Linked DNA regions of Pelodiscus sinensis. The protein of the gene in region 1 interacts with the protein of each later gene in a biochemical or structural test. Links are inferred from orthologs where the notes say so. Each region holds a gene or a part of one and is shown in the gene's direction. Other genes may lie near its edges. The genes, in order: LATS1, MINK1 and HTRA2.

Region 1 (10,651 bases):
AACACAAGGGCCTATAACGTAGTCCTAGTAGTTCAGAGGGACAACCTACATAAGGCTCTTGAGAACTTTTCCATCACCATAGATGCTTATGCATCCAGTGAATGAAACAACAGTTAGCATACATTATTAAGTACAACGTTCTTTATTCCCAACTGCCTTTTGCACTTCTTACTTGGCAAGCATAAAAACAATCAGTAGTGAAATAAATGGTATTTTAAATATAGTGTTATAAGGGTGTTACAGTAGCTTAAAAGTGTGAAATACTTGAACTCTGTTAATGTTCATGCTATTGTAATAATACTCAAGTATTTTGTTCAGGGCCAAAACTTAGGTTCTTTTAAAGACAACCTAATAGAAATATTATTACTTTTAACTTGACATTTTTATATCTAAACATTCCCATGCAATTGTTATGCTGCTGCATGTCAACTAGAAGGGGAAATTGAATTTAATGGAATGCAGAAAAGATTGTTTAAATGGTGGATAGTTAAGTCCCATAAATCTAAAAATCTTGGAGCTGTAATAATCTAAGACAATGCTAATAGCACTGGTAAGGGCAGGTTAACGTTTGATATAGACATTATGCCTATACACTTTTGATCTGTAGAAAAATTATGTTTATAAGTTAGTCTTTATTGGTGCTAGACAGACAGACATCTGACAAGCATTATCCTGTTATGGTCAAGTTCAGATAATAAAGCATTCTTGACAAAGCTTCAGTCATGAGTTTTCTCAAAATTGATGGATTACTAAATCTAAGTGTTGCCAAACAAAACTCTCATAAAAGTGCCTAACACATGAATAACTTATGTCTAGCTTTTATAACAAGGAACCCTTTCTGCAATGTTTTTAATAAATGTGTGTTTTTCCACCAGAATTCTATTTACTCATTCTTATTGTTTATCTTTGACTTTTTATAATAAGCTAAATTTGGCCATTTTATAGGTTTAGTTCAGTGTCATTGCAGTTAACTGATAGATTATGTTCCCATTACACTTCTGGCCCTTAGGACAGCAATGAAGCTCCTCCATTCTTGTTTATTTCTGGCAAGTCTTGTAATATTTTCCCTGCCTGTGCCCAAGTTTTTTAGCTTTGCTTCCACAACTCTTCATAATGCTTCTCTCAAGCAACCTTGTTTTCACTTGCCTTCAGAGGTTTCTCGTTGCTACTCTGGTAATGGAATTAGTTTCCATCTGAAGTTGATCTTAATATGCAGCATGTGCACTTTAAGGCCCCACAATATGGTTCTACACTGGAACAAGGGTCCACTGGTACAGATTAGCATGTGTGATTGGGCCTGAATAGCTTGAGTTCTCAGGGGTGTAAAGCCACCTCCTAATTCTGTTGTCCTATCAGTCCATAGGTATATTGGAATATCTTCATCCGGGCAAATGATGAATAGCTAGCTTTTCAGCAACACAATTCACCGTTTGAGTGATTACATAGCTGTAAAGTTATAAAGCCTATGATATTGTCCAGAGGTAAAACTATAGGACAGTCATACATTCTGACTTCTATTCTGCTGATTTGCCTTGTGGCTCTGGGACAGTCACCCTTCTATGCAACTTTATTTCTAAAAAGAGTAATTTTATAAATCAAGGTGAACTGCTTGACAGGATAAAACTAAGAATTAGAAGACCGTACTTCATAGTTCTGCCTGTGATTTGGTATGGGCAAGTAATATCTCTGTTTGTTTTATTATTTATAAAATAAGGCCAATCGATTTTATTTACCTTTTGTAACATAGTTTGAGCTCTATGAAGAAAGATGACTGTGTGGAATACAAGTGTTAGACAGTAAAACATTAGCTCTTTCTAGCATTCAGGCTCACTGTATATCATGACGGTTGATTTGTCAACTGATACTTCTATGTGTGACTCATTACATGCACTTGTTAGGAACAGCTACCTCGAAGTGGTGAAAATTCTTGAAGGTTGGGTTCCATCTATACTCTGTATTTCTTTTTGTACCAGTATATGTACATCATTGTAGCTATATACTCGTGCAAACCCCTAATTTATACATTCTCCCCTATTGTAAAGGATAATATGTACTATTGCAGTTTACCTGTAAAAGATGCACTTGTACACGTTGAAATGATTTGTAGATAGACTATGTCTGCTATCAGTCTTTGTAAATCCCAACTGGGGACATGACTACAGATCTAGGATCAAGATAGAGATCATAGTGTAAGCATAAGCTTCTCTGCCACCAAATAACCACAGGAAAACTGGAGAGTATTCTGCATAATAGAAGAGAGAGTGCACCACTTAAATAAAATGCCTCAATTATAATTAAAACAGCTGTCCTTTTGACCATTTGCAGGTTTTGACAGGAAACTTTAAAACACTTTAAAACATGTTTATATTAAATAATTGGACATTTGTAGAATGCATAGGAAAGATTGACTTTCAGAACTGTACGGCACGTTATTTTTCTGTTCTTTAAAGGTAACCTACAGAAAAGCGGGTGGAGGAAGATATGTTTTGTTTTTCTGTTTCACGTAAGAAGTGCTGAAAGATGGGGTTAGGGATGGAGATGGAGAGATGTCTTAATTTTGCTAGCTTCGGGGGTAGCCAAGTTAATCTGTACAGGAAAGAACAACAAATGGTCTGGTAGCACTTTATAGACTAACAAAACATGTCGATGGTATCATGAGCTTTCGTGGGCACAGCCCATTTCTTCAAACTCTGCTCATCTGAAGAAGTGGGCTGTGCCCACGAAAGCTCATGATACCATCGACATGTTTTGTTAGTCTATAAAGTGCTACCAGACCATTTTGTTGTTTGTTTTTTAAATTTTGCTAGGTTTTCTTAAAATGGGAATTCAAGTCTTGTCTAAGCTGGAATGCTCTGATACCTGGAGAAATAGTGAAAAGAATATCAGCAAAAAAGGAGAAGAATTTTCTAATTGCCTTTCAAAACTCTTAAACAAGTTTTACACAAGAGAAAAAATGAACTTAAATGAGTTTGAATAGAAGTCTTAGACTTAACACCCTAGGCCCTTCAATTAAGATGGTCAGTGCTCATAGTAATTTAACGCTTCCTGCTGGTCCTCTAAAAACCAGATTTCACGTTTCAGGTATTTCTAAGGTTAAGAAGGCCAAACTGCTTTTTTTTTTAAACTTGTCATAGTTCCTTTTTCATGTATTTTTGAATTATTAGATACTTCATAATTATTTTGCAGATTACTGTAAAAAAAAAATATGCCTAATAGCAACTTAAAAGGCTGCTCTCTTCCTGTGCATTGCAGTGATGAAGTTCATTTTCTATGGTTCAACCTATTTTCCACCAGTAGTAGACTGAACCATCAACACCTCTGCTTTCTCCTCTTCCCTCCCCCCCAAAAAAATAATTCTCACCTAAATAGTCTTACCATTCATAATAAAGGGAAGTATCACTGTGCAGGGAAAGAGGGGCTAAAGGAGAATTCTCACGGGTTTTGGGAGGTGAGATTTAGATTACTGTCAGGGAGGGGAGAAATGGATTTTTTTGTAACTTGGGCCCAGAAAGTGGTCATTGCAGTGGTAGCCAGAGGTCAGCTGTAGTTGCATGTCACCAAAATTAGAACCTATGGATATTACTGACTTGGTACAGCCACTTTTCCAAGGATCTTTACATCTGTTTCCCTTTCTGAATACAGTAAAGTGAAAGTGACTGAATGATCTATGATAAATGTATTTTGAGTGTCTTATTTAATATTATACGTTAAATGTTAAGTTACATACACCATTAACTTACAAGGCTACTCTAACTTCGTAGCAGATAACATTTAGTGAATTGCAAATAATTCTATTGAAGGGTTTTTGCAAGAAAACAAACTTCACAAGCTAAGCTCAAATTTGTGTTCAAAATCACTACTTTGTATTTGTACAAAATGATGCAACATGCTCATTTTTCTTCAGAAGTTAGATAAAATATGCCACTACTATGCCAAATGAGGTGATGCAGCTTTTTGAAGATCTAGGCAGCTTGCTCTTGGATATATTTTTTTTTTGTGATAAGGCCTTATTTCCTATATCTTTATTTGTATTCAGAGTTTTTAACCTCTTGGGAGACCTTGATTTTATTTTTTGTACACGGTTATGAAGATTCTTGCGCCTTCAAAAGTCTCTCCCGTCTGAGCTAGGTTGAAAAGGGAACAACCTATCTCCAAGAGGCAGTGGTAGGGAGGAGGAAATGAGTAGTCAATATTTCACTCGAGTGCATGAAACCATAAGTTTATTGGGTAGTTGACTAGCTGACTACTTGCTAATGTTCCCAGGGCAGGAGTGTTATGATGCTGTGGCCAAATGGGGGCTGGACCCCAATTGGAGGCTTTTTGGCCAGGCTTCATTTTTAAATGAAGGAAAATATTATGTCCAACAAAATGGTTTCAACATTGTCTATAATTATGGCTGCTAAGTACAAGCTTATTGGGTAGTTGAGTGGAGTATTGACTACTTACTCCCTCTCTGTAGAGGCAGCAAGGGAGGGACCAAGAGCTGGTGCTGGGTGAGCCAGCTGGCTTAAAGGCTGATTTTTCCCCAGCACCATGTCTAGGGTGCTGCCTGCCCCCTCCCCTGCCTCTATTAGAAGCAGAGGGGGGAGATAAGGGAGGCTGTTCTGGTAGCAGCCTCTGTCCATGGTGGTCCCAGCTGTGAGCTGGGCCCCCTCATCGATAGGGGCTGCTGGACTTGTGTTGGTCTGGGACACTGCCTCTGCATTTTAAATGTAGTAAGAGCCCAGTGGTCCTGCTTACGTTTAAAATGCAAAGCCGCAGGGTGGGTGGCTTCTGGAGTTGGCATGACCTGGGACTGCTCAGTGCTGGCTCCTGGAGCTACCCCTGCTGTGGCTCTGTAGACTGCCCCTTATTAACTAATCATGTAATTGATATAAATTGTATGAATTACACGATTAGCTACAACTGCAATTTAACATCCTCATCTCCCTCCCCTTCCCCCACACATCCCAACCCTCACAGCCCATCATACACATGAACTTCTTCCCCTGAGCCCCTTATTCCCTGTACATCCCCAAACTCCTGCACCTCCCCAACCCCTGCCATAAGGTTGACAGATGACAGCCTGAATGCATGCATAAAGCTGGATTTGACCAATTTCGATAAAAACATCAGAGAAATGTGCACAAAAATGCAGCAAAAAGTCCCATTAAAGTCTGTGAGTACAATATTTAATTTATGCTACTGTTAATCATGTCAATATTAAGTTGCATATTTTCAGTCATGCAAATGGGCATTCTTATACAGCTGTTTGTTGACTCTGTGTTTTGAATTTTGATGTAGTTTGGCTTTTGGTTTTGAAAATGTTGCCGACCCCTGATCTAAGGCATCCAATTAATAGATGCTGTGCTGCTAGTATATTATATCACATCCCATAAAATTCACTGTTAAATGTAAGGATCTGTATATTACAGGTCATGGTTGCTATGAATTTTTTATTACAGTCCTGGGTCCTGTCCATGCCTTTTTCTAATAAATAACCCGGATAACATTTTAGCTGACCATATTTAACAGTTCTGTACCATGCTGCCGCGGTCAGTATTGGCAGTTAGGAAAGTAGAGCAAGCTTGTGACAAAATTGCATAGTATTTCACATCTCATTAACTAAAGACTTGTTGAATCCACCACATGCCGGTCTGCCTTCATGCTGCCAGTGGCAGATAAATTAACCAGGTGAGGGATGTACAGATGCATGGCCAATTTCATACTCCCTGGAACAAGTGACATAGAATTAGCTTGGGTCGGAGCCCGCTCCCTGCCAGCCCTGGGCCGATAGAAGCGAAGGCAAAGGAACCGCGCGGGGCCTGGCCCGTAGCGGGATGTCAGTGTTGTGTGGCAATGGCAGGCAGCTGCCGGAGCCGGGGAGCCCATTGCTGAGAAGGCTGCAGCGCGGCTGGAACTTGCGAGCTCCCGGTGACTGAGACTCGCGTAGGGAATCTGGGAGGGCATCAGCCACCCAACCAATCCTACAGGCGGATTAGTCCATAGGTTCCTGGTTGGGGGGGGGGGGAGGGTGCACTACTCGCCGCTGCCACAGCAGGAGGGAGGGGGGCGCGGCCCATTGCCTGCCCCCCCCCCCTCCCTCCCTCCCGCGTAGAGCCGGGCCCGGCACGCTGACTCGGAGATGCTCACATTCCAATCCGGAGGGGCGGGGGGAGCCGCAGGGGATACGCGCAAAGGATGCCGGGAACGGCCCATATCCGGGAAGCCCTCTGCGCCAGACCCACCGAGAACATGGCGGCCCGGAACTGAGCCCCACGGGGGGTGGGGGAGGGGACGAGCTGCTACCAGCCCCGGGGACCCGAACGGCCCAGCCGCCGCCCCGCGGGCGGAGCCCAGCGCCACACGCAGCGCGCCGCTCCCCGCCACACGCGTGGGCCCGGGGCGACGCCGCCGCCGCTGCCTTGTCCCCGCAGGTAGGTCCGGCTGCCGCGGGAGGGGAGCGCGGCCTGGGGCACCCCGTGCCCGGCGGAGGCGAGGCCCTACTGGGCTGCGCAGATTGACGCGACTTCGCCGCCTCTGGGCCCGGGGCGGGTGTGGGGGGAGGTGAGCGGCGCTGCCCCCGAGTGAGCGGAGACAATACCAGCCCTTCCCCGCCCCCCACTCTCCCCGCGGAAGCCAGGCCCCGCCGCTGTGCGACCCCGCCTCCCGCAAGGGGGTTCCCTGTCTGCAGCTCCGTGCCCAGCTGTGCCTCCCTGCCCAGCCCGCTTCCCTCGCCCCGGCACAGCGCTTTGCCCCGGGGGGGGATTCCTCTCGCCGCGGATTCCCCGTGTGCTGCCCCAGCGCCTCGCCTTAGCTGGGCAGGGGCTGGGCAGCACCGACGAGAATCCACTTTGTTTCCTGGGGTGGGTGCAGGGGTCTGCAGTCGGTCTCTGCAGCTGGATTTGTTATATATTTGAACCCTGGATTAAATTTTGAAGCGTTTCTCCTTGTTCACCCAAAATAAATATGGGGAGGAGGGAGCGGAGTAATTGAAATCGTGTGTGTGAGTGATTCGAGACCCAGATCTATTCACTGTTGAGGACTGTAGGGATGGGATGGCAACATACTGAGGAGACTACCCTGGATGAGAGATCATTCCCTGAACATAATGCTCCCTTATGGCCTCTTTAGCTGTTATCGGCACTGACATCTGCAGTCAAATAGTTATAAGAAACTAGGTTGGTTAGCATACTTTCATTTAAGTGAAACCTAGTTTAATTTGTCTGTGGGTATCTCATGAGCATCTCACCATTTTAATGATTTAAATTTGATTAATGTTCACACATCAGTCTAATTTCCATCTCTAAGCATCTAGATGTCACAGATAAGGGAGAATCTAATACTTGAGCAGATGGTATTCATGCTGCTCTGAATTTTTGTATATAGGTTGAAAAATAAAGTACAACGCTGAGCTGCAGGATCAGTGACTGTCTTGTACCAAGTACAACGCTGAGCTGCAGGATCAGTGACTGTCTTGTACCAATATTTTAGAGCATAAGAAAGGCTATATAGATTCAGCTTAATGTTTCATCTAGCCCAGTATCCTGCCTTCTGGTACCAGCAACTATTAGATGTTTCAGAGGAAATGAACAGAACAACTACCAATTGATCCCTTATCATCCAGGCCCAGATTCTGGCAGTCAAAGGCATAGGGAGACAGAGTGTGGGGATTGTCCCTGATTGCTAAAAGCAAATGACAAACTTAATCTCCATGAATTTATGTAATTATTTTTTTAATTCAGTTATGTTTTTGATCAACTCAACATCCCTGGCAATGAGTTCCATAGGTTGATTGCTTGGTGTGAAGAAGTACTTTCTTATGATTGTTTAAAACCTGGTGCCTATTACTTTCATTGGGTGACCACTGGTTCTAGTGTTATGTGAAGGGATAAATAATGCTACTTCGCTTTCTCTATACAGATTGTGTTTTTTCCATTATCATATGACTTCTAAGCTAAACAGATGCAGTTTCTTTAATCTTTCCTCATATGTAAGCTGTTCCATACCCATCTTAATTGTTGTTACTCTAAGCTATACTTTTTCCAATTCTAATACTACTGTTTTGAGATGGAGCAACAAGAATTGCATGCCGTGTCAAAGGACTGGGTATATAATGGCATTATAATATTTTCTGTCTTATTTTCTGACTCTTCCCTTATGTTTCCTAAGATGGTTAGATTTTTTGACTGCTGCTGCCCTAATTGGCCTGGGGGCGGGGGGAGCATCAGGTCCTCTGCGGGCCTGATCCACCCACTTGGCAGCTGGATCTGGCCCGTGGAGGCCTTTTTGCCCACCACTGTTCTACTGGTACAATCTCAGTTGAGGAACCAGTTCAATTTGGTTTCAAAGCAATGCAGTTTTCAAGCTCATTGGTCTTTAGTCTGTCTTGCTAAGACCACCAAGAAAACATTAAATTGTATGCAACATTTAGTACATAGCATTTGTCTTCTGAGGATCTCAAAACAGTTTACAGAGTAAGTATAATTATCTCCATTTTATAGATAGGGGAAAATTCCTCAAGGGGGGAAATTCCTGGGAAAACACTTAAATCAGTAATGAATTTGTAGTGATTTTCTATCACAGTGTAAATTGACAAATGGGATTTTAAGTAGCTTACATAGTAGTGATCTGATAGTAATTATTTCTGGGTGCTATAAATTTCAACTTTGAATTAATAACCTAAATGTTCTCTTATTACTAGCCCTCCTGAGCCATCAGATAATTTTGTTCAGGGTCTTGGATAAGTTTACACTCCCAAATACCTTATTCCTGGATGATAGTGAGTTATTTTTTAGTACCTTAAAATGTAACTACATGTTCACTTTTGTAGCCAATTATTCTTTAGAGCTTTTACTGTAATCACTTGGATGCAGAAAAACTTGTTTTCCATTATGTTGGTAAGCAAAAAAAAGTCAAGCTTAGAACTGGCAGTAAGTTACCTTTGCCTTCACTTTTCTTTGGGATGTGTGTGTATTCAAACACTGCAGTCACATTTCATACATTAAAAGCAATAAGTAATAAAACTAAAGAACAAAAATCTGTTTGCTTAAGAATAATTTTAAACAGTTGTTTTAATAACTCATGGCACACTTGCTGCATTATCATATTTTAAACTATTTATTAAACTTTTGCATTTTTGAAGTATTTTTAATGTTAAAGTTGCAGTGAAGATTTACATTTCCCAAATTAAGAGTTAAGGTTACAAAGGGAAGCTAGTTAGGTACCCTTATCTCTATATGCATTACAATTTAAATGAGATAATCCTATACTATTTTTCTAATAGATATTTTACAGGGATGGATTTTTTTTTAACAATTTATATTCAGACATGTAGCATCTTGTAATATATTATATATACTCAACACTCCCTGGAATTATATACCTGAAGATTTCTGCCATGTTTACTGAAAAACATAAGAGCACACTACACCATTGCATGAAAAAGGATTATATATTAAAAATGTGAACAACTAGAGGTCTGAGACTAGAGAGAACAGACATAAGAATGAAAATGGATTGAGAGAAAGTAATTATGTAGACTGTTTAAAAATACTTAAACAAGTTTAACTCAAATGTCTGATAAGACCAGGCTATTATCTACATCTTGTCCCTTATCAGGGATAAGAGAGTATCCTTTCCAGTGTCTGGGTCTTCCAAGGAAAGAATCTGGCAAAACTAGACAAAGAAGATTTGACATTAATATTTCTAAGCTGGTAAAAAAGCAGAAAAACTTTTTTGGGTGGTCACGGTGGAACATTTTAGGCCACTTTTATATTCAACTAGAAGACTTACCCAGCAGGGCAGGGGCCTGGTGGTGTGTTGGCAGGTGGGGCAGGGAGGGGTATAGAAGTGAAGGGCTGAAGGTGTGTGTGGGGGGGGTGAGAGTGAGATTTGTGCGGTAGGGAAGGGGGGCAGTAGGTTTGAAGGCAGGCAAGATGGCGGAGCCCAGCATTTTGTGCTGTAGCTGCCCTTAGTGTCTCTGAAGTACAGCTCTCCGCTGCAGACTTGCTGCCCCTAGTGGCTATTCTCAGTATTATGCCCCTCCCTTTCCATGTTATGGAAAAGAATCCCATTCCCAGCACTTCTGTTTTCTTGATGCAACCAAATCCTGACCTTGCTTTAAGTTAGGATAAGAGTGAGCTGCATACCAAATTTGGTGGTCCTAGCTCTTACCAATTAGGAGGAGTTTTTGAACAGATGGACTCAGAGACAGAAAAAAGGAAGATATCACAACTACTCTATTCCTTGCACCTTACGTTGTTGGTAGGAAGGAGTTCCTTTCCTGGGGGAGTCTTAGGAACTGCGCAACTTTTATCTTATAAGATGCATTCTGTGTGAAGCAGGGGTCCATTGTTTTTCTGCATACTTTTAAATTTTTTCTTGTTCCATCTTAAACTTTTTACAACATAAATTAACAACTATGGTCTTCCTGAGCTGTGTACACCTTTTGAGGTGTGTTTAAAAGCTTACTCTGGGTATACAGTGTCATGTGTTCCCTTAATGAGTCAAAATTTCATCAAACCAAAATCAGCTTTTACAATAACATTCAAAGGCATCTCTCATTGAGCATTATTTCCATGCCATATTTCTTCATTTTACCCACTGTGGCTGTGATGTTAGAGTTAACTTAGTCTTTAAAATTTATACAGTATGACCTTTTTTGAATCGA
Region 2 (9,982 bases), on another chromosome or scaffold:
GCTACTTAACACATGGCCTGTGGGTCATGTTTGGGTTTATGTGGGGATCAACATGTGGCCAGCGAGTGGGAGCCAAAACAAAAAAGTAGTCAGTGTAATGATCTTCTGTTGATATGCATTTTAGTAGGTAAATTCTTGGACTGTCATTGCTCATGAAAAGTGCTGTCACATGGGTAGAAATCAGGTAAATGTTGCATTTTAATATCAGCAGAACTGACTTAAATGGGGCCTGTGTGTTGTATAGTCTTGCCTTAATCTTTACATTCATTCCTGTCAGTGTAAGAGAAGCTATTTGTATATATTTGCTTGCATATGCAACCAGACTTAAGTTGCAGCCCTCAGCATGTTCTGTAAGTATCAGTGTGGCCCCTGAGGCTTCCAAAGTTGAGTTGCCCTAGCTCATCCCTGAAAGGTGTCTGTCTAACCTGGTCTTAAATATCTCCAGTGATGGAGATTCTGCAATGTCCCTAGGCAATTTATCCCAGTGTTTAACCACCCTGACAGGCAGGAAGTTTTTCCTAATGTCCAACCTAAACCTCTCTTGCTGCAATTTAAGCCCATTGCTTCTCATCCTAACCTCAGAGGCCAAGGAGAACAATTTTTCTTCCTCCTCCATATGATACTCTTTTAGATACTTGAAAGCTGCTCTCATGTCCCTTTTCGGTCTTCTCTTTTCCAAGGTAAACAAGGCCAATTCCTTCAGCCTTGCCTCATAGCTCATATTCTCTAGACCTTTCATCATTTGTGTTGATCTTCTCTGGACTTTCTCCACGTTTCCAGAAATGTGGTGCCCAGAACTGGACACGATACTCCAGCTGGAGCCTAATGTAGGGTATGTCTACACTACAAAGTTAATTTGAACTAACGGATGTTAGTTCGAATTAACTTTGATAGGCGCTACACTAGCGCTCTGCTAGTTCGAACTTAATTTGAACTAGCGGAGCGCTTAGTTCGAACTAGGTAAACCTCATTGCATGAGGACTAAGCATAGTTCGAACTTACTAGTTCGAATTCAGGGCTGTGTAGCCCCTTAATTCGAACTAGTGGGAGACTAGCCCTCCCCAGCTTTCCCTGGTGGCCACTCTGGGCACCACCAGGAAAGTCGTATGCCCCCCTCCCGGCCCCGGAGCCCTTAAAGGGGCACGGGCTGACTACGGTGCCCGTGCCAGGTGCAAGCCTGCCAGCACCCAGCCAGCAGACCCTGCACCTGGCACGCCATGAGCCAGCCACCCGATGCCCCCCAGCCCTCCGCCTCTTCCTGGGACCAGGCTGGCGGCTCTCGGGAGCCTGGCCAGGACTGCAAGAGGCGGGCACCTGCCTGGTATAGTGCAGACATTGTGGACCTCGTCCACGAACTCCGCACTAGGCATAGGAAAGTGGCCGTCTAGGGCAGGAGAGCTGCCAGCCTGGCCACCCAGGAGCAGGTTTGCATGAAAATCAAGGTGGTCCACTGAGACCCCCGACCCTGAGCCCTGAGCTTAGAATGGCCGTACTGGGTCAGACCAAAGGTCCATCTAGTCCAGTAGCCTGTCTGCCAACAGTGGCCAACCCTAGGTACCCTGGAGGGGATGGACCAAAGACAGTGACCAAGCCATTTGTCTCGTGCCATCCATCTCCAGCCTTCCACAAACTTTGGGAAGGGACACCATTTCTACCCCCTGGCTAATACCACTCCATGGACCCAACCTCCATGGCTACGTCTACACTGGCCCCTTTTCCGGAAGGGGCATGTAAATTTCACTAGTCGTCGTAGGGAAATCCGCGGGGGATTTAAATATCCCCCGCGGCATTTAAATAAAAATGTCCGCCGCTTTTTTCCGGCTTTTAAAAAAGCCGGAAAAGAGCGTCTAGACTGGCCCCGATCCTCCGGAAAAAGTGCCCTTTTCCGGAGGGTCTTATTCCTACTTAAAAGCCGGAAAAAAGCGGCGGACATTTTTATTTAAATGCCGCGGGGGATATTTAAATCCCCCGCGGATTTCCCTACGACGACTAGTGAAATTTACATGCCCCTTCCGGAAAAGGGGCCAGTGTAGACGTAGCCCATGACTTTATCTAACTTCTCTTTAAACTCTGTTCTAGTTCTAGCCTTCACAGCCTCCTGCAGCAAGGAGTTCCACAGGTTGACTCTTTGCTTTGTGAAGAACAACTTTCTGTTACTAGTTTGAAGCCTGCTACCCATTCCTTTCCTTTGGTGTCCTCTAGTCCTTCTATTATGGGAACTAATGGAAAACTATTCTTTATGTACCCTCTCCACACCACTCTTGCTTTTAGACCTCTATCATATCCCCCCTCCGTCTCCTCTTCTCTAAGCTGAAAAGTCCCAGTCTCTTTAGCCTCTCTTCATATGGGACCTGTTCCAAACCCCTGATCATTTTAGTTGCCCTCCCCTCTCCCAGCCTTTCTCTTCCCCTCTCCCACCTCTTTTTCCCAGTCTCTCCCAGTTTTGTTCAATAAAGAGAGATTCTATTTTTGAACACACGTTTTCTTTATTTTGTACATCAGGAAGGGGGGCTAGGGAAGGGTAAGTGGAAGGAGGTGAGGGAGGAATGGGGTACGCGCCCCCGATGGGGAGGACTGGGCTGGCTCTGCGGGCTTCTTGGGGTGGAAGTTCTCCTGCAGCCCCCTAATTGCCCCCTCCCCCCGGATGGCAGCCTGTGGCAAGTGCAGCCGGGCTGATGGCTGAGTGCTGTGATGTTCCGTGTGTGGGCACTCAGGGCACTCCAAGCCAGGACTGCTTTGCAAGTGGGGAACCCTGAGAACTGTCTGTCCGGGGTGGGGGTCGGGTCCCTTTAAGCACAGCCCTTGGCTAGCCTGAGACAGCAGCTCCACGCTCTAAGTCCTCATCTGATGCCCTGCTGGCACTGCTTCCGGCCATCCTTAACCTCTGTTCAGGGTCCACTCTGTGTGGACATGCTAGTTTGAATTAGCAAAACGCTAATTTGAACTAGTTTTTAAGTCGAGATGCGCTAGTTCGAATTAGCTTAGTTCGAATTAGTGCTGTAGTGTAGACATACCCCCTGATAGCTCATTCCCTGCCTAGGGGACGTGAGACTGGGTGGGTTAATTTCCAATCCTTGGCTGCATCTAGACTGGCAAGTTTTTCTGCAAAAGCACCCGCTTTTGTGGAAAAACTTGCCAGCTATCTACACTGGCCTCTTGAATTTGCACAAGAACACTGACGATCTAATGTAAGATTGTCAGTGTTCTTGCGCATATACTATGCTGCTCCCGCTCGGGAAAAAGCCCTCTTGCGCAAATGCTTTTGCACAAGAGGGCCAGTGTAGACAGGTAAAAACTGTTTTGCCCAAAAAAGCCCCGATGGCGAAAATGACGATTGGGGGCTTTCTTGCGCAAAACCACATCTAGATTGGCACGGACACTTTTCCACAAAAAGTGGAGAAACTTTTCCATTAAAAGCATTTGTGGAAAATCATGCCAGTTTAGACATAGTCCTCCTGTTTATTTTTTTCCTAAACCAGGAGGGCACAATGGTTCTGATGGGAGCTCTGCAGGGAGGCAGCCCGCACTGCCCCCTGCCTGAAACCTTGTGCAGGTGTTAAACAGCTGTCCAACCCACCCTAGAGGTGACTGCATTTCAGCATGCCTGAAGCAACACAGCACCAGCAATGGACAGGAGAATGGCTCCTGGGCATGGCTTTCTCATGACTGCTTCAGTCCCATTGAATGGGCCTCAGCTTCTTTCCTTTCCCTCGCCTGCTTTGCAATGGGGCTGTAGGCTCTGGGGGAGAGAGGTGGAGGCAGGCAGAGGTGTCTCCCTGCAGCAGATGTAGACACGTTTCTATATTAATCATTCTCTCATTGAAGTTTTTAGCTTTGTATTGAGTCCTTTTACATGGAAACTTTGTATTATGTCTTGGTAGAATAGTCCCTAGGACAAGTGAAGCAGAGACCGTCCCTGTGGGGTGAATGAGGTGGGATTGTATAAGGTGGAAGATGAGCACCTTTGGGCAGTTGCAAAGGTTGGAGAGGGGCTGGAAGCCAAATCCAAGATCAATGAGTCCTGGGAAGTGGGCCCATTGAAAGGAGACTGGATCTGTGGATGCCTTGGGAGTCAGCAGCAAGGGCCTGCTTTGCGAAGCCCCCCCTCTTTGGGGGTAAATGTGGTAGCATTGAGACATCACCCAGAAGCAGGCCCCTCAGACACTAGCTGCAGATTCATGGGACGGCTCTCACAGATCTTGCACATGCATAAGATGACCTATCATCTATCTGCAGATCTATCTGCAGGAGAGGGGGCAGTGGCGTAGCGAGGGGGGCCAGATGGATCATCTGCCCATGGGCACCATGCTATGGAGGTGCCAATGTAATCCCATTCTGCCCCCCCCCCCCCATCCCTCAGCTCATGTGCTCCTACTACGCCTGCCACCGGCAGCTGGAGCCTCCTCCCTGCCTCTCTGCTCCAAGCCTGACCCTCCTCCATCTCCATCTCCACTGGTGGGTTAGTGCATGCAGGAGCCCGCCCCAAACTGTAAGGGGTGGGGGAAGATGCAGTACAAGTTCCCCTCAGCTGCACCGGGTTTGGGGCCATGGCACTGCACCTCTTCCAGAGCCTCCTGCCCCAAGCTATGAGGCCAGCAAGGTTGGGGGCGGGAGCAGTGACCCGGCTGCTTTGCTCCCCCAGTGACAAGGACTAGTGGCAGCCAAGCAGAGCAATGCAGCCCGGAGATGGTGGGCCAGCCCCTCCCTGCTCTGAGCGAGCCCCCACCCAACAAGGAACAGGCTCCTCCCTGCTTTGCTCATTGGCCCGCCACCCTCAGGAACAGGCCCCGCCCATGTATTCCACCCTCCCTGCTCTGGCCCGAGGCCCCTTCCTCGAGGAACACGGAGAAAGGCGGGAACATCCTCCTTGCACGCGCTCAACCACCCCACCCTTCCTGCCGCCCGGCTTATGCTTCGCGCACGCGCGGTCCTGCCTCTTTCCTAGATTGCGCCTGCGCATTGAGGGGAGGGAAAGACGCGCTCTTTCGCCTCACTCCCAGGAATGCGAATGCGCCGAACCTTCTTCCCACACCGCTTGCGCGTTCTAGCTTCATCTTCCGCCTTACGTTCCCAGGCCGCAGGCGCTCCCGCCCAGTGCGCTGGCGCATGCGCAGTGCGGTTCCTGGGGCTGCTGGTGCGAGGCGGCTGCGCGGATCCCAGCGCCGGATCCATGGGGCTGCAGTGAGCCTCCGGCCAGGCCCCGCCCGCCCCGGACATGGCCGACCCGGCTCCTGCTCGCAGCCTGGATGACATCGACCTCTCAGCTCTCAGGGTAAGCGGGTGTGGCTGTGTCGCGGAGGGCAAAGGTCAGCGGCCCTGGCAACGGAGTCAAAGGTCAGAGGGGCGTGACTTGTGGGGGGCTACAGGTAGGGGACTGCCCCCGCCTCCTGTGGGGGAGGGGCCCCTCGGATAGGCCCCTTTGGGGAAAGAGGCCTCCCTGCGCTGGGGCACAGACCCCCGTGCCCTGCTGCGCGGAGGTTAACGGGGGACGTGCCTGTTCGGGGCCCTATTGTGGGGAAGGTGTTAGGGCTAAATGAGCCCTGTTGTGGGAGCTGCAAGGGCCCCGCCATCTCTGCTGTACTCTCCTCGTTGTCCCTAGGCCGGGGGGGCTTGGGTTCCCCCAAGAGGAGCTGTTGTGCCAGGAGACGCCAACCAGGGGGATCCACGTGCACTTCCCGTGGGATAGTTGTGGGGGCCACTTCTAGGGCATGCCAACCACACTCTCCATGGCTGCTACAGCAGCCCAGTTCAGTGTCTGCCCAATATCCTTCCCTACCCCAGTCGCTGTTGTTACCCCAGCTCCCCATCATGCCCTCCCATTGGCATTGCTGTTGTTACCTTGGCTTCTAGTCACCCCCCCCACACACACACACACATCACTACTGTTATTCCAGCTCCCCATTCCCTCCCCCTGTCTGTTCTGGCATTGCTGCTGTTACCCCCACTCTCCATTCCCTCCTCTGCTGTCTGCCCCACTGTTGTTGCTCTTACCCTAGCTCTCCCCCACATTTGTCTGTCCCAGCATCACTGCTGTTATCCCAGCTCTCCGTTCCCGGCCCCCCCGACTATCCATCCCAGTGTCACTGCTGTTATCCCTGTTCCCCCTGCTGTCTGCCCCAGTATCACTGTTGTTACGATTGCCCCCTGCCGCCGCCCCACCCAGTTGTCTACCCCGGCATCACTGCAGTGGCCAGGACTTGCCATTCTCCACACCTCTCGCTGTCATTACATTTACTCTGGCTCACTGTTCCCCCACACACTCTTATTGTGTCCCCCCCCCCAGCTTCACTGCAACGAACCTGATTCCCCATTTCTCTCGCTTTTCTCCATCGCTACAGTGACCCTGATTCCCTGCTCCCCACCCCCAGCACCACTGCAGTGACCCTGATTTGCTGTCCTGCCTTTACTCTGTCCCCTCATCCACACACACAGCATCGCCACTGCTAACTTGACTTCATGTTCTTCCCCTTTGCTTTCCTCCCCACTAGTGTCACCATGGATTACCCCATTGCCCCATCTCTGCCATGATCTCACTGGCTCTTCCACATGCATATTACTGCATTACTCTGTTCTCTTCTCCCCTGTTTAGACTCTGCTTACTCAGGTGCGCAGTGGTGGGGCTGGGAGGGCCAGTGCAGAAAGTAAACATGTAGGTAGCTGGCTCTGGTGGCAAAGCAGGGAGCTGTTGTTGCAGTGGTTTGCAACAGAGCATGCATGGTGGCACTTGGACATGGATTATGCCCTGTCCTGACCCCCATTAATCTGCTAGAACACAAATCTGATTCTCTAGTGTTCAGTAACCGGCCCTGTCTTGGAGTATTAACCTCTGTAGCACTGGGCTAGTGGTAACCCCCTCACCAGCCCTGCAATGCTGCCAGCACCTGGGTGATTCAGAGCCCCCCCTCACCCTACCGGGCTCCGTTAGCACTAATGAGCGGTAGTTCTTTAGGTCCTTGCTGCAAAAGCTTGGCAGTGCAAAGCTCTGCTCCTGGTTGAGGCGAGCTGGTGAATAAAGATTAGCCCAGCATGCCAGGGATTTCTGTGTAATGTACAGAGCAGAGTTTCTGAAATGGAGTACTCATGCCCTTGACCAGGAGAACCCCTCCCATCAGTATAGGTAGTGTCCATGCAGAAGCACTACAGTGGTGCAGGTGTAGCGTGCCAAGTGGGAGGTTGCTGTAGTTGTACCGGTATTATCACTTGTCACAGTGATGTCTAATGCTTTTCATCAGTTGACCTCAAAGTAGATCAGTATCACATCCTCATTTTACAGGTGGGGAAACTGAGGCAGAGTGAGTATGTGGCTTATCAGAGGGCACTAACTGATGAGTGTCGGAGCTGGGAATAGGTCTCCCAATGCTCTATCCAAGGCAACACTGCCTTTGTACCAGTTTAACTAGACCTCTCCCATAACCATTGTGCTGATATAAATCATCAGCTGTCCTGAAGTCCCTGGCACAGCATTCTTTTTTTACAGGAATCGGTTTATAATTGCGTTTAATAGGAAAAAACCCGAAGTGTCTGCTGCAGGTTGGCCTGTGCTGTGAATTCTCGCCTCCATCAGCAGAACAGCACCGTGAGCCAAGCTTCAGAATGTGATTACATCTCGTTTCAAACCATACTGAGCTGCTGTCTCTCTCTCAGACAAACTAGCACAGGGAGGTTTCGTAACACCGCCTCTGTGCAGTTGTCATTGCTGGTGGGTGGCTAGAACTTCTCAGCTGGCTTCAGTCTTTCTCTTCTTCCCAAAGGATCCCCAAACCCTCCTTGCGTTATTTATTCATATGTGGCTAGCATTGATGGTCTCCACTGAGCACAGTGTATCTTCACAAAGAGAAGATATTCAGTACCAAAGTGTGCTCTTTAACCTATCAGGAGCAGCACAAGAACCCACTGCCTGGCAGATGAAGCCAGACACATTAATGCGGGTTTTGTACAGTGTGAGTGATTAACCATTGGCCCAAATTGTCTAGTCTCCATCTCTTGATGGCATCTGGTTAAACCACATTAGCCCAGCACAAAGCTTTGGGCTCAAAGGGGTAGCTTTGTAGAATTCTCTGACTTGTGCTCTCTGGGTGTTAATTAGGGGTCTGATGGATCCTTTAGCCTTAACACCTGGGGCTGGGCTAGGTGCTGTGCCCCTGCCAAACAAAAGGCACCAGAAATCATCTTGTTCGTAGAGGCTGGGGAATGAAAATGGAAGTCAGCACATTTAAAAGCAACCAAAGGAGATACGCTGTGCACTGCATTGAAAAAGCATGTGGAACTTTGTGCCACAAGAGTCCAAGAACTTAATGGGATTTAAACAATCAGACATTTGACATGGGTAATAGTGTGGATTAAAAAGCAAAGGGAGAGTGAAACTCTTGGTTTGTTTTACCTCCTCTGGGCTGAATGGACTCTTGGTCTGGCAGTTGTGCATAGTAGTTTAGGACAGGAAGTGATACATTCATTATCTGATTGGAAGCGCAGGGGTTGGGCATGGTGCATTTCTGAAGGAAAGCCCTGATATGCATCAGCGTTTGCTAACTGGCAACCTAAGCACAAAATCTGTTCGTCCCACAATCGTGAAATATTGTCAACCTTACTTTTGCCCAGTTGCATAGATGAAGGCTAGAAGAGACTATTAGATAATCTAGTACCTTACAGGCAAGATAATTTCACCCACCTCCCCCTGCATTGAGCTCAAGAATTGAGCTGGGCTAAAGTGTCTTTGAGAGGCTCCAGTCTGGATGGGAAGGCTTGCCCTTTGGCACTTGTTTCAATGGTTAAACACCCATGCTATGGATGCATATGCCTGATTTTTGAATGGGAATTGGCGAGGCTTTAGCTTTCAGCTATTTGCTCCCCATGCAGGTACTTACAGACCAGGATTAATGTCTTTGCTAAGATGGATACATTGAGTTGCTTTGTGAGGTGTGTTTGCCAGCCCTTGAATCTTTTTTGTAGTTCTTTTCTGAGCCCTCTCCCATCTTTCATCTTTCTTTTTTTTTTAAAGGGGGGATGCTAGTACTGGACACAGTATCATAGCCATCAGCTCCCTTCTCAGGTTTTCCCAAAAGGTCTCGCTTAAGCCCTGCCAGTAGAAGGTCTTTGTTTGGCTTACTTGGTCTGAGTGGAATGGTCATTTGGCTGGAATGCACCAAGTGTTAAAAAAGGCATATGAGTTGAAAACTAACCCCAAACCTGCCATGTGGTGGGTCTGTCCGTATCAATGTGGGATGAGGGCATTCTCCTGGGCTTTGCTGCTTAGGATTGAAGGAGGGGTGGGTGTGTCGTGTGTGTGTGAGGCTAATGCCTGTGACCCATGTGTGTGAGGCTAATGCCTGTGACCCAATCTGGCTTGGGAGCTGTCTGGCTGCCTTGACTGGAAGGACTACTTAATCTGCACCAGGAAATCTTTCCTATAGTTACTACTAAGCAGGAAGTGGCACTGTTTAGAGCCTTAGTGCAGACACGGTGCTGGGGGGATTGTGTCTAAAGGCCTTCTCTGAGCAGTGCTAGAGTCATAGATTCCAAGGTGAGATGGGTCCATCTAGTCCTGTGGTGGGCAACCTGCAGCCCATGGACCACATATGACCCATCAAGTTTCTATGTTTGGCCCACAAGACATTTTGTTTACTGTTGCCCATGTGCAGGGTTGCCACTGATTCCTGTCCGCATAGATTTTTTTCCTACCGGTATTACAAAAGTGACATGCAAGGGCACATGAAGTGAGGTTCAAGCTGATTGCAGATAACATTGTGAGAGCTGTGCACTCCTCCTACATCCAGTCAAAGTGCTGCTACAGTTCGATCAACACACCCTGCAAATTTTAGGTATGCAAGTGCAGTTAGCAAAGCTACCCTATCCCAAGAGACTGTCTGTTGCAACAATTTAGTGGCTTACTGAAATGAAGGGCTATTCATGCGGCCCACCCACTAGCCTAGGTTGCCCATGGCTGATCTAGTCTGATTTCCCATACAGTACAGGCCTTGAATGG
Region 3 (9,763 bases), on another chromosome or scaffold:
TGGGCTCTCCACATGCAGTCCCTGCCTGCTGCATTGGCCTCATCTGACCCTGCAGCTGAGACAGGAATCTGCACTTGTGACACTGACAGATTCCAGCTTTCAGCCTCAGCAAACATCCACATGCCTTGCTTGCCAGAGAAATGGCACTAGCTCTAGCTCATGTGACAGCAAAATAACCACTTACCCTCATCTGCCAAGTACAGAGCAACTCCTTCCTATCCCTGAGCCCATCATGTTATTGCTGTATCCGTCTGTTAAATCAGTTCCTCTCTAGCCAAGCCCAAATTCACAGCTTTCAAGGGGGCCAAACACATTTAACAGTGTCATTGTGGAGAGAGAGCTCACTGGGATGAGCATTGGCCTTCTAAACCCAGAGTTGTGAGTTCAATCCTTGAGGGGACCATTTAGGAATCTGGGGCAAATCTGTCAGGGATGGTACTTGGTCCTGCTGTGACGGCAGGGGACTGGAGTCGATGACCTCTCAAGGTCCCTTTCAGTTCTATGATCTATTATATTATATTGCTGCCATATTAACAGAAGCATCAGAGAAGAAAACTTGTCTGTGCTTCATGCATAAGTCTCAACCTCAGCTCAGCTCCTTGCGTGACCATGTGGTCCCTCAGGGCTCATCTATACTTATGGGAAGATCGACGCTCTGGAGGTTAATCTTCCTGGGTTCTATTTAGCGGGGTCTAGTAAGGACCCACTGACTCCATCTCTGATGGCACTGCCCTCAACCCTGGTACTCCACAGGGTCTTGACGAGTGAAGGCAGTTGACAGGAGAAACTCTCCCACTGACCTCCCACTGTGTGAACACTGAAGAAATTTGATTTAAAGCAGTAGTCCCCAACCTTTTGGAGCTGCCGGGCGCCCGGAGGCGGGGCCACCCATGCATCTGGGACTGGTGCTGCGCATGCAGGGCCGGCCCTGAGCACTTGGCGGGCGCATGTAAATGTCCCGGCGGGTGCCATGGCGCCCGCGGGCACCACGTTGGGGACCACTGATTTAAGGTATTTTGACTCCAGCTATGCGATTCTTGTAGCTGTAGTTGTGCATCTTAAATTCAATGCATCCCGTAGTATAGACCTGGACTCGGAGAATAACTTCCTGCACTTCCTGAACTTGTGGGTGTTATGACAGTAAGCATATTAAAATTGGCAGGATGCTAAAGTACTAATGACGGGAGCCAGAAAAAAGGCCTTGCCTAGACAGGCCAATCGTTACTAATATTACCACTGGAACATAAGAGATGTGAGAGAGGCAAAGACAACGTCAGTGAAGTGCCATGGGAGGAAGCCGAGAAGTGAGTGTGAGATGGCAGGAAAGAACCCCAAAGCAGAGCAGTAGACCACAAGGCACAAAGTAACAGCAATATTAATGCTCTAGCTATGACCTCCCCCGCCCTCCGCCCCAAGCTGTACAGGCCCATCATGGGATACAGGATCTTTGCCCCACACCTCTAGACTCACCACGGCAATTAAGGGCCTCTGAACTTGCAGGGCCACTGGTTGAATCACATCCAGAATTGAGAATGGCCAGGAGCTGGAAAGAAAACATCCCAGAGATTAACAAGGGCCACAGAGATGAGCTAAGGCTGTCCCCGGGAAAGTCCCCCATCACCACTACCTGAAGCGAAGAAGGCCAACTCGGCCATTAGTGGCTGCCTCCTCCGGGAACAGCAGCAGAGGTGGATTCCCCCGATGGGAAGAATACATCTTCAGGGAATCCACCAGCTCTGCCCGGCTCCCTACTGCCCCCAGCTCCATGAATCCCCGTGACCAACAGATGAAACCTGGTGTGCCATTCAAAGCAGGCTGTAAAAAAAAAGAGCACATACAAATCAGTGATCCTCACTCAGCCTCCCTCAAGAGACTCTACCCAGCGGGTTGATTTGGGTCCTAGCGTCCCAAAAGCTCCTTCCTTCCCCTCCCTGGACAGCACAGGAGCAGCTGGGTGTCCTCCAAACAGCTCTCAGTTATGAATGGGAGATGGGGGGCCTTGTTACAAGATTGGTTGTACCATCCTTCTCCCCACCAACACAAGTCTGTTGCTTTTCAGGACTGTTTGAAAGACCCTTATCACACAGCATCACACACTGCTTCCTAGGCAGGTGCAGATAGCTCTCTGCACTCACAGGAAACAGCCAGCACCCGGGGAAAGCCCCAAGCCCAACTGTGCTTCTGCTTATATCTATTTAAAGAGCCAGGAGGGTGAGGCAGAAGTGACAAGTTTGCTTGGATGGCTTGGTTCATTGCCTGTCCTTAACCTGAACCAACCAGAACCTAATAGCACAATACACAAGCCTAAAGAGACACTCAAGGCTTGTTCAATTATTTGTTAAAAACAAACCAAGGAGCCATTCCCAAATCCCTGAATAGGGAATTCTACCAAGGGAGGTGTATAAGGGTGTAGCCCAAGATCCTCGCATAACTCACGGTATTGCATGGGGTCAGCAGGTTGATGACACTGTGGTCGAAGTAAGTCACATGGTTGGCAATATAAACCCTGATGCTGGCATCCCGGAGATTGGGGTCACTTTGCCGCACAAACAGACCCAACACCGAGCACATCACACGCACGATAAACCTGATAACAGGAGCAGAGGCCCCCATCATGACCAGAACTGCTGACAAGTGAATAAAGACTAGGCTGTACAAGCACTATGGAATGAAGCCCGAGGGGCACCAGAAACGTGTCACGTGGAGAGACAGGGTGAGTGGAAGGAAGCTCAGGGCTGCATTTGTAGGGACACTGGTGGAGCTGTGTAGGGAGCGCTCAGGATTGGAATAGTGAGGGAGTGGTGTCAGGTGTACTTGCTGGCAATTTGCCTTGTCTCTCTCAGCCCTGCAGTTTGCACTTGGACAAGAGAAACACATTGTCCGGCAGGTCCTGGAATCACCAGCAAAGGAGCTTAGGGCTAATGAGGACAAAAGGCACGAACACAGAGCATCCACAAATATGAAGTGTACCCCTATCAGCCAGCCCCAAGAAGCCAGGGGTACGGAGCTCCCACTCCATTGACAGCAGAGGGGGACCCCACAGGACAACTTTACATACAGGTAGGAGATGGCTACTCACTGGATTTGGGGATGGAAAGCTCACAAGAGCCCCACGCTCACCCTCACCTGCGGAGCAGACTGTCTGGCAGAGCACAACTGACCAGGAAGACGTGGACGCCGATGAACAGGCGCAGGAGGAGCAGACAGAGTCCCACGGGCGCATAGAGCAGCAGAGCCAGCAGCAGGAAGCCATCGCTGGGGAACCTGAGGGGGAAAGAGGGTTCAGGTCAAAGTCCACTGCCAGGTGCTAACTGATCCACTGCCCACCTCCCGCTGCTCCCAGGTGCCCGTGCCCTGCCCCCCCGGAGAGCGAGACCCCCCCCCGATCCGCCCGCCCCCCCCGGAGAGCGAGACCCCCCCCATCCGCCCGCCCCCCCCAGGAGAGCGAGACCCCCCGATCCGCCCGCCCCCCGCGGAGAGCGAGACCCCCCCGATCCGCCCGCCCCCCCCCAGGAGAGCGAGACCCCCCCGATCCGCCCGCCCCCCCCGGAGAGCGAGCCCCCCCGATCCGCCCGCCCCCCCCAGGAGAGCGAGACCCCCCGATCCGCCCGCCCCCCCCAGGAGAGCGAGACCCCCCCGATCCGCCCGCCCCCCCCCAGGAGAGCGAGACCCCCCCGATCCGCCCGCCCCCCCCCAGGAGAGCGAGACCCCCCCGATCCGCCCGCCCCCCCCGGAGAGCGAGCCCCCCCGATCCGCCCGCCCCCCCCAGGAGAGCGAGACCCCCCCAATCCGCCCGCCCCCCCCCGAGAGCGAGCCCCCCCGATCCGCCCGCCCCCCCCAGAGAGCGAGCCCCCCCCGATCCGCCCGCCCCCCCCAGAGAGCGAGCCCCCCCCGATCCTCCAGCCCCCCCCAGGAGAGCGAGACCCCCCCGATCCGCCCGCCCCCCCCCGAGAGCGAGACCCCCCCGATCCGCCCGCCCCCCCCAGAGAGCGAGCCCCCCCGATCCGCCCGCCCCCCCCAGAGAGCGAGCCCCCCCCGATCCGCCCGCCCCCCCAGGAGAGCGAGCCCCCCCGATCCTCCCGCCCCCCCCGGAGAGCGAGCCCCCCCGATCCGCCCGCCCCCCCCCAGGAGAGCGAGACCCCCCCGATCCGCCCGCCCCCCCCGGAGAGCGAGCCCCCCCGATCCGCCCGCCCCCCCCAGGAGAGCGAGACCCCCCCAATCCGCCCGCCCCCCCCCGAGAGCGAGCCCCCCCGATCCGCCCGCCCCCCCCAGAGAGCGAGCCCCCCCCGATCCGCCCGCCCCCCCCAGGAGAGCGAGCCCCCCCGATCCTCCCGCCCCCCCCAGGAGAGCGAGCCCCCCCGATCCTCCAGCCCCCCCCAGGAGAGCGAGACCCCCCCGATCCGCCCGCCCCCCCCCCCGAGAGCGAGACCCCCCCGATCCGCCCGCCCCCCCCAGAGAGCGAGCCCGCCCGCCCCCCCCAGAGAGCGAGCCCCCCCCGATCCGCCCGCCCCCCCAGGAGAGCGAGCCCCCCCGATCCTCCCGCCCCCCCCAGGAGAGCGAGCCCCCCCGATCCTCCCGCCCCCCCCAGGAGAGCGAGCCCCCCCGATCCGCCCGCCCCCCCCAGGCTCTCACCGGTGCGCGTCGAAGAGCCGCTCAGGGCTCGAGGCGGGAGGAGGCTCCATCCCGGTCCCGAGCCACCGCCTCAGCGAGGCCCAGGACCCGCCGCCATCTTACCCACGGCGGCGCCCTGCGCGCGGGGCCCTCTGGGAAAGGGAACCCGCGTGCGCCAGAACGAGCCTCCCGGCATGCCCCGCGCGGCTCCCTGCCTCTCCCGGCCTGCCCCGCGCGGCGCGTCCAGCGTCTCCCGGCCTGCCCCGCGCGGCTCCCTGCCTCTCCCGGCCTGCCCCGCGCGGCGCTTCCAGCGTCTCCCGACCTGCCCCGCGCGGCGCGTCCAGCGTCTCCCGGCCTGCCCCGCGCGGCTCCCTGCCTCTCCCGGCCTGCCCCGCGCGGCGCGTCCAGCGTCTCCCGGCCTGCCCCGCGCGGCTCCCTGCCTCTCCCGGCCTGCCCCGCGCGGCGCGTCCAGCGTCTCCCGGCCTGCCCCGCGCGGCTCCCTGCCTCTCCCGACCTGCCCCGCGCGGCGCGTCCAGCGTCTCCCGGCCTGCCCCGCGCGGCTCCCTGCCTCTCCCGACCTGCCCCGCGCGGCGCGTCCAGCGTCTCCCGGCCTGCCCCGCGCGGCTCCCTGCCTCTCCCGGCCTGCCCCGCGCGGCTGAGCATGGCGGCGGCCCGGGCGCTGTGGCTGCGCGCGGCCTGGCGGGGGCCGGCCCGGGCCCTGGGGGCCGCTCCCTGCGCGGGCCGGGGGGAGCCGCGGCCGCCCCCTCGCGCGGGCCGGGCCCGCTGGGCGCTGGCGGGGGCGGGGGCGGGGGCGCTGCTGCTGCTGCTCTGGGGCCGGGAGCCGCCCGCGCTGCTGCCCCGGGTGCGCGCCGCCGTGCCCGCCCCCCCCGCGCCGCCCGCCCCCCCCGCGCCGGGCCCCGGCTCCGCCCGCGCCGCCTTCAACTTCATCGCCGACGTGGTGCAGAAAACCGCCCCCGCGCTGGTCTACATCGAGATCCTGGGCAGGTACCGCCCCCCCCGGGACCCCCCCGGAACCCCCCCGCCCCCCTGGACCCCCCCGCACTGGTCTACATCGAGATCCTTGGCAGGTACCGCCCCCCCCGGGACCCCCCCGCCCCCCCGGGACCCCCCCCGCACTGGTCTACATCGAGATCCTTGGCAGGTACCGCCCCCCCCGGGACCCCCCCGCCCCCCCGGGACCCCCCCCGCACTGGTCTACATCGAGATCCTTGGCAGGTACCGCCCCCCCCGGGACCCCCCCGCCCCCCCCGGACCCCCCCGCGCTGGTCTACATCGAGATCCTTGGCAGGTACCGCCCCCCCCGGGACCCCCCCGCCCCCCCCGGGACCCCCCCCGCGCTGGTCTACATCGAGATCCTGGGCAGGTACCGCCCCCCCCGGGACCCCCCCCGCGCTGGTCTACATCGAGATCCTGGGCAGGTACCGCCCCCCCCCCCCCGGGACCCCCCCCCCGCGCTGGTCTACATCGAGATCCTGGGCAGGTACCGCCCCCCCCCCCGGGACCCCCCCGCCCCCCCGGGACCCCCCCCGCGCTGGTCTACATCGAGATCCTGGGCAGGTACCGCCCCCCCCCTGGACCCCCCTGCGCTGGTCTACATCGAGATCCTGGGCAGTACCCGCCCCCCTGGAACTCCCCTGTCCCCCGGGACTCCCCTCCTGACCCCCCTGGTACCGCGCCTGCGGTGGTCTACATCGAAGTTTTGGGCATGTACCCCCCCCCGAACCCCTATGCTGGTCTACATCGAGATCCTGGGCAGGTACCGCCTCCCCGGGACCCCCCCGCCCCCCCGGGACCCTCCCGCGCTGGTCTACATCGAGATCCTGGGCAGGTACCGCCCACCCCCCCCCCCGGGACCCCCTCCGCCCCCCCGGAACTCCTCCGCGCTGGTCTACATCGAGATCCTGGGCAGGTACCGCCCCCCCCGGGACCCCCCCGCCCCCCCGGGACCGCCCCACGCTGGTCTACATCGAGATCCTGGGCAGGTACCGCCCCCCCCGGGACCCCCCCGCCCCCCCGGGACCGCCCCACGCTGGTCTACATCGAGATCCTGGGCAGGTACCGCCCCCCCCGGGACCCCCCCGCCTCCCCGGGACCCCCCCGTGCTGGTCTACATCAAGATCCTGGGCAGGTACCGCCCCCCCCGCCCCCCCGGGACCACCCCCGCCCCCCCGGGACCCCCCCGCGCTGGTCTACATCGAGATCCTGGGCAGGTACCCGCCCCCCCGGGATCCCCCCGCCCCCCCGGGACCCCCCCGCGCTGGTCTACATCGAGATCCTGGGCAGGTACCCGCCCCCCTGGAACTCCCCTGTCCCCTGGGACCACCCCCACCCCCGGGACTCCCCTCCTGACCCCCCTGGTACCGTGCCTGCGGTGGTCTACATCGAAGTTCTGGGCATGTACCCCCCCCCCCCCCCCCCGAACCCCCATGCTGGTCTACATCGAGATCCTGGGCAGGTACCCCCCACGCTCTCCTGGACCCTCCTGGCCCAGCTGGTACCACCGCCTCCCAGTATTGCCCCAGTGCTGGTCTACATGGAGATCCTGGGCAGCTACTGCCCGACCTGCTCTCCCCGCCCCGCAGCATCGCCTGGCTTCAACCTGCTCCCAGTACTGCCCCTTGTGAATCTGACCTGCCACTTACCCCTTCCTGCCCTTGTACCATCTCTCCTCTCACCTTGTTCTCTCCTCTTCCAGAGAAACTTTCCCCATTCTTCAAATCTGCTTCCCCTCCTCTCCCCTCCCCGCCCCACCCATACTGACCCCCAAGTGTTTCCCTAAGTATGTGTCATTTGATTGGCTGCATAGAAACCCCTGCTGCTGTGTTTGTGTGTATCACTCTTGGGTCGGGTGCTCTCTAGTAAGGATGTAAAATCCACTTAATTAGTTAACCAGTTGAATGTTAAGGGGAGCTAGTTATCTGATTAAACAGTGGTAGGGGAATTTCCATCCACTAGTCCTTAGGCACTTCCGCATTTCTCCTTTGAAATGGACAAAAGCCCCAGTGGGGACTCTTGTGCATTTCAAAGTTGGAACTCTGCATGCAGCCGAGGGCCAGCAGGACTTCCCCTTGGTCCCAAGTGTGCCAGCTTTGGAATGTACAAGAGTCCTCAGCTGACCACGGGATCCATGCGGCGCTGCCCCTTTGAAATGCCTCGACGCTGCCACTTTAAAGTGCCCCCTCTTCCCTTCCCCTTTGCTGCTGCTTCTATCTGATAGAGGCAGCAAGCAGAGGAGTGACTAGTCGACTCGACTGTCTGATTAGCATTTGCTTATTGGATAGTTGATGACTGCTCAACGTTTCCCTCTACTCTCTTCTAGTCAGTCCCTGGCAAGGAACGATTCAGTTGCGCCGCCGTGCGCGCTCGTGCTCATGTATGTCAAAATCCTGGGTGGGCATTGAACCGTCTAGCCCGGGGTGGGCAATAACTTTAATGAGGGTCGCGGGTCGCTCTGGAAGGGGAGGCCCTTTAAATAGCAGGAGGCGAAAGGGCTCGCAGCTCCCAGGACTTGTGAGCCCTTTCAACTGCTTCTATTTAAAGAGCTCGCACCTTCCCTGTGGCTGCAGACAACGCGTTGCCTGCCAGGATAGGGAAGGTGCAAGCCCTTTAAATAGAAGCAGTTGAAAGGACTCCTGCATCTCCAACTCCCAAGCAACGCGCTAGGAGGTGGGGCCTGGAACTGCTGTCCGGGCCTGATTCAGCCTGCCAAGAGGCTTTTGTCCACCCCGATCTAAACTGTTGTCTGCCTGGAGGAAACCTGTCCCTGCCCTAGTCTGTCTAGAGATGTCTCTCACCCCTAGCAGAGAGCCATGGGAGGGGCCTGTCTCCTATGCTGGTGCTCAGGTGAGCAGAGGTGTGTGTTCTGGCAGGAGGAGAGATTGCTGATAGGAAGGAGGGGAGCCAGTGCCTTGAAGAAAGGGGCTTGCGGATTTCTGTGGTGGTTTCTGCCCCCCATCCACACTGACTGGCTTTTCCAAAAGCTACCTCTGGTTCTTGTCCTGTAGGCATCCCTTTTCAGGCCGGGAGGTGCCCATCTCCAATGGCTCTGGCTTTGTGGTGTCCCCAGATGGTCTCATCGTGACTAATGCCCACGTTGTGGCGAATCGGCGGCGGGTGCGGGTGAAGCTGGCTAGCGGGGAGCTCTACGATGCCGTGGTCCGTGAAGTCGACCAGGTGGCAGATATTGCCACCATCAAAATCAACCCCAAGGTGTGTGGGGGCCAGGAACGTTTCACGGGACTAGCCCCTGCATTGGCTGCCTGCAGGTCTCTTGATAGAGCTGTGCTGACCCGTGCTTTCTCTTCCCCCCAGCAACCTCTGCCCACGCTGCCCCTGGGCCGCTCCGCAGAGGTGCGGCAAGGAGAGTTTGTGGTGGCTATGGGCAGCCCTTTTGCTCTGCAGAACACCATCACCTCCGGCATTGTCAGCTCTGCTCAGCGAGGCAGCCAGGAGCTGGGCCTGGCCGATTCCAACATGGAGTACATCCAGACCGACGCTGCCATAGATGTAAGGGGAGTGTGGGGCGGGGGAGGGCAGTGGGGGCACTGGCTGAACCCCACAGTTTGTGCATTTAGAAGAATTTTGCTGCTAGTTGGGGTGGGAGCTGGGGAAGGGGTCTGCATGAGGGGAGTGTTCAGGCTGTCCCTTGTAGGAAGAGCAGGGAAGCAGGGGATCTGGATTCTGCCCCAGGGCCATTGGTTGTGTTTGCTGCCTGTGTAAGCCAGAGGCACTGAGAGGGAGCCTGAGTCTGCACAGCAAAGGCTTCAGTCTCCCGCTCAGTGCCTCTGGCTTACGCTGACCACCCTGGTTCTCGGATTTTGTCTCTGCTGCTGCTGTGGCTTAACTCTGCCCCTTTCTCTCCTGCTGCAGTTCGGGAACTCGGGGGGGCCCCTCGTCAATCTGGTAAGTCCTGCTGTTTGGGTGTCTTCCCTTTTTGGGGGGAACACAGTGCCCCTTTGGGCTGCGTGCTCCAGCCCTGGCTAACTGGCTGTGTGGAAGTCGGGATGCCCACCTCTTGCTGCCAGCAGGGAGTATAGAGATGTCTATTCATCTCCCAGGCTCTGCTCTGGCGTGACCGAGGTAACAGCACTGGGGTCTGCACTGCTGCCTGACCCATCCCAAGCCAAGTTGG

The links.
Region 2: of the proteins of LATS1 (region 1) and MINK1, one has a biochemical effect on the other in vitro, tested with the Homo sapiens proteins (2 studies listed by BioGRID). The link is inferred for Pelodiscus sinensis from reciprocal best matches to the Homo sapiens genes LATS1 and MINK1.
Region 3: the proteins of LATS1 (region 1) and HTRA2 form a complex in vitro, tested with the Homo sapiens proteins (2 studies listed by BioGRID, with this or other methods). The link is inferred for Pelodiscus sinensis from reciprocal best matches to the Homo sapiens genes LATS1 and HTRA2.

The regions. Positions count from the first base shown.
Region 1 is NC_134713.1:106,439,035-106,449,685, reverse strand, and holds the start of LATS1 (serine/threonine-protein kinase LATS1), read left to right. Parts: upstream 1-6,180; 5' UTR 6,181-6,416; intron 6,417-10,651. UniProt on the Homo sapiens protein: Negative regulator of YAP1 in the Hippo signaling pathway that plays a pivotal role in organ size control and tumor suppression by restricting proliferation and promoting apoptosis.
Region 2 is NC_134734.1:8,341,798-8,351,779, forward strand, and holds the start of MINK1 (misshapen-like kinase 1), read left to right. Parts: upstream 1-4,946; 5' UTR 4,947-5,215; coding exon 5,216-5,272; intron 5,273-9,982. UniProt on the Homo sapiens protein: Serine/threonine kinase which acts as a negative regulator of Ras-related Rap2-mediated signal transduction to control neuronal structure and AMPA receptor trafficking.
Region 3 is NW_027465889.1:425,123-434,885, reverse strand, and holds the start of HTRA2 (serine protease HTRA2, mitochondrial), read left to right. Parts: upstream 1-5,272; coding exon 5,273-5,616; intron 5,617-8,636; coding exon 8,637-8,841; intron 8,842-8,943; coding exon 8,944-9,138; intron 9,139-9,501; coding exon 9,502-9,534; intron 9,535-9,763. Other genes in the region: lipid droplet-regulating VLDL assembly factor AUP1, read right to left, coding at 1,471-1,543, 1,628-1,815, 2,437-2,587, 3,127-3,264, 4,633-4,682.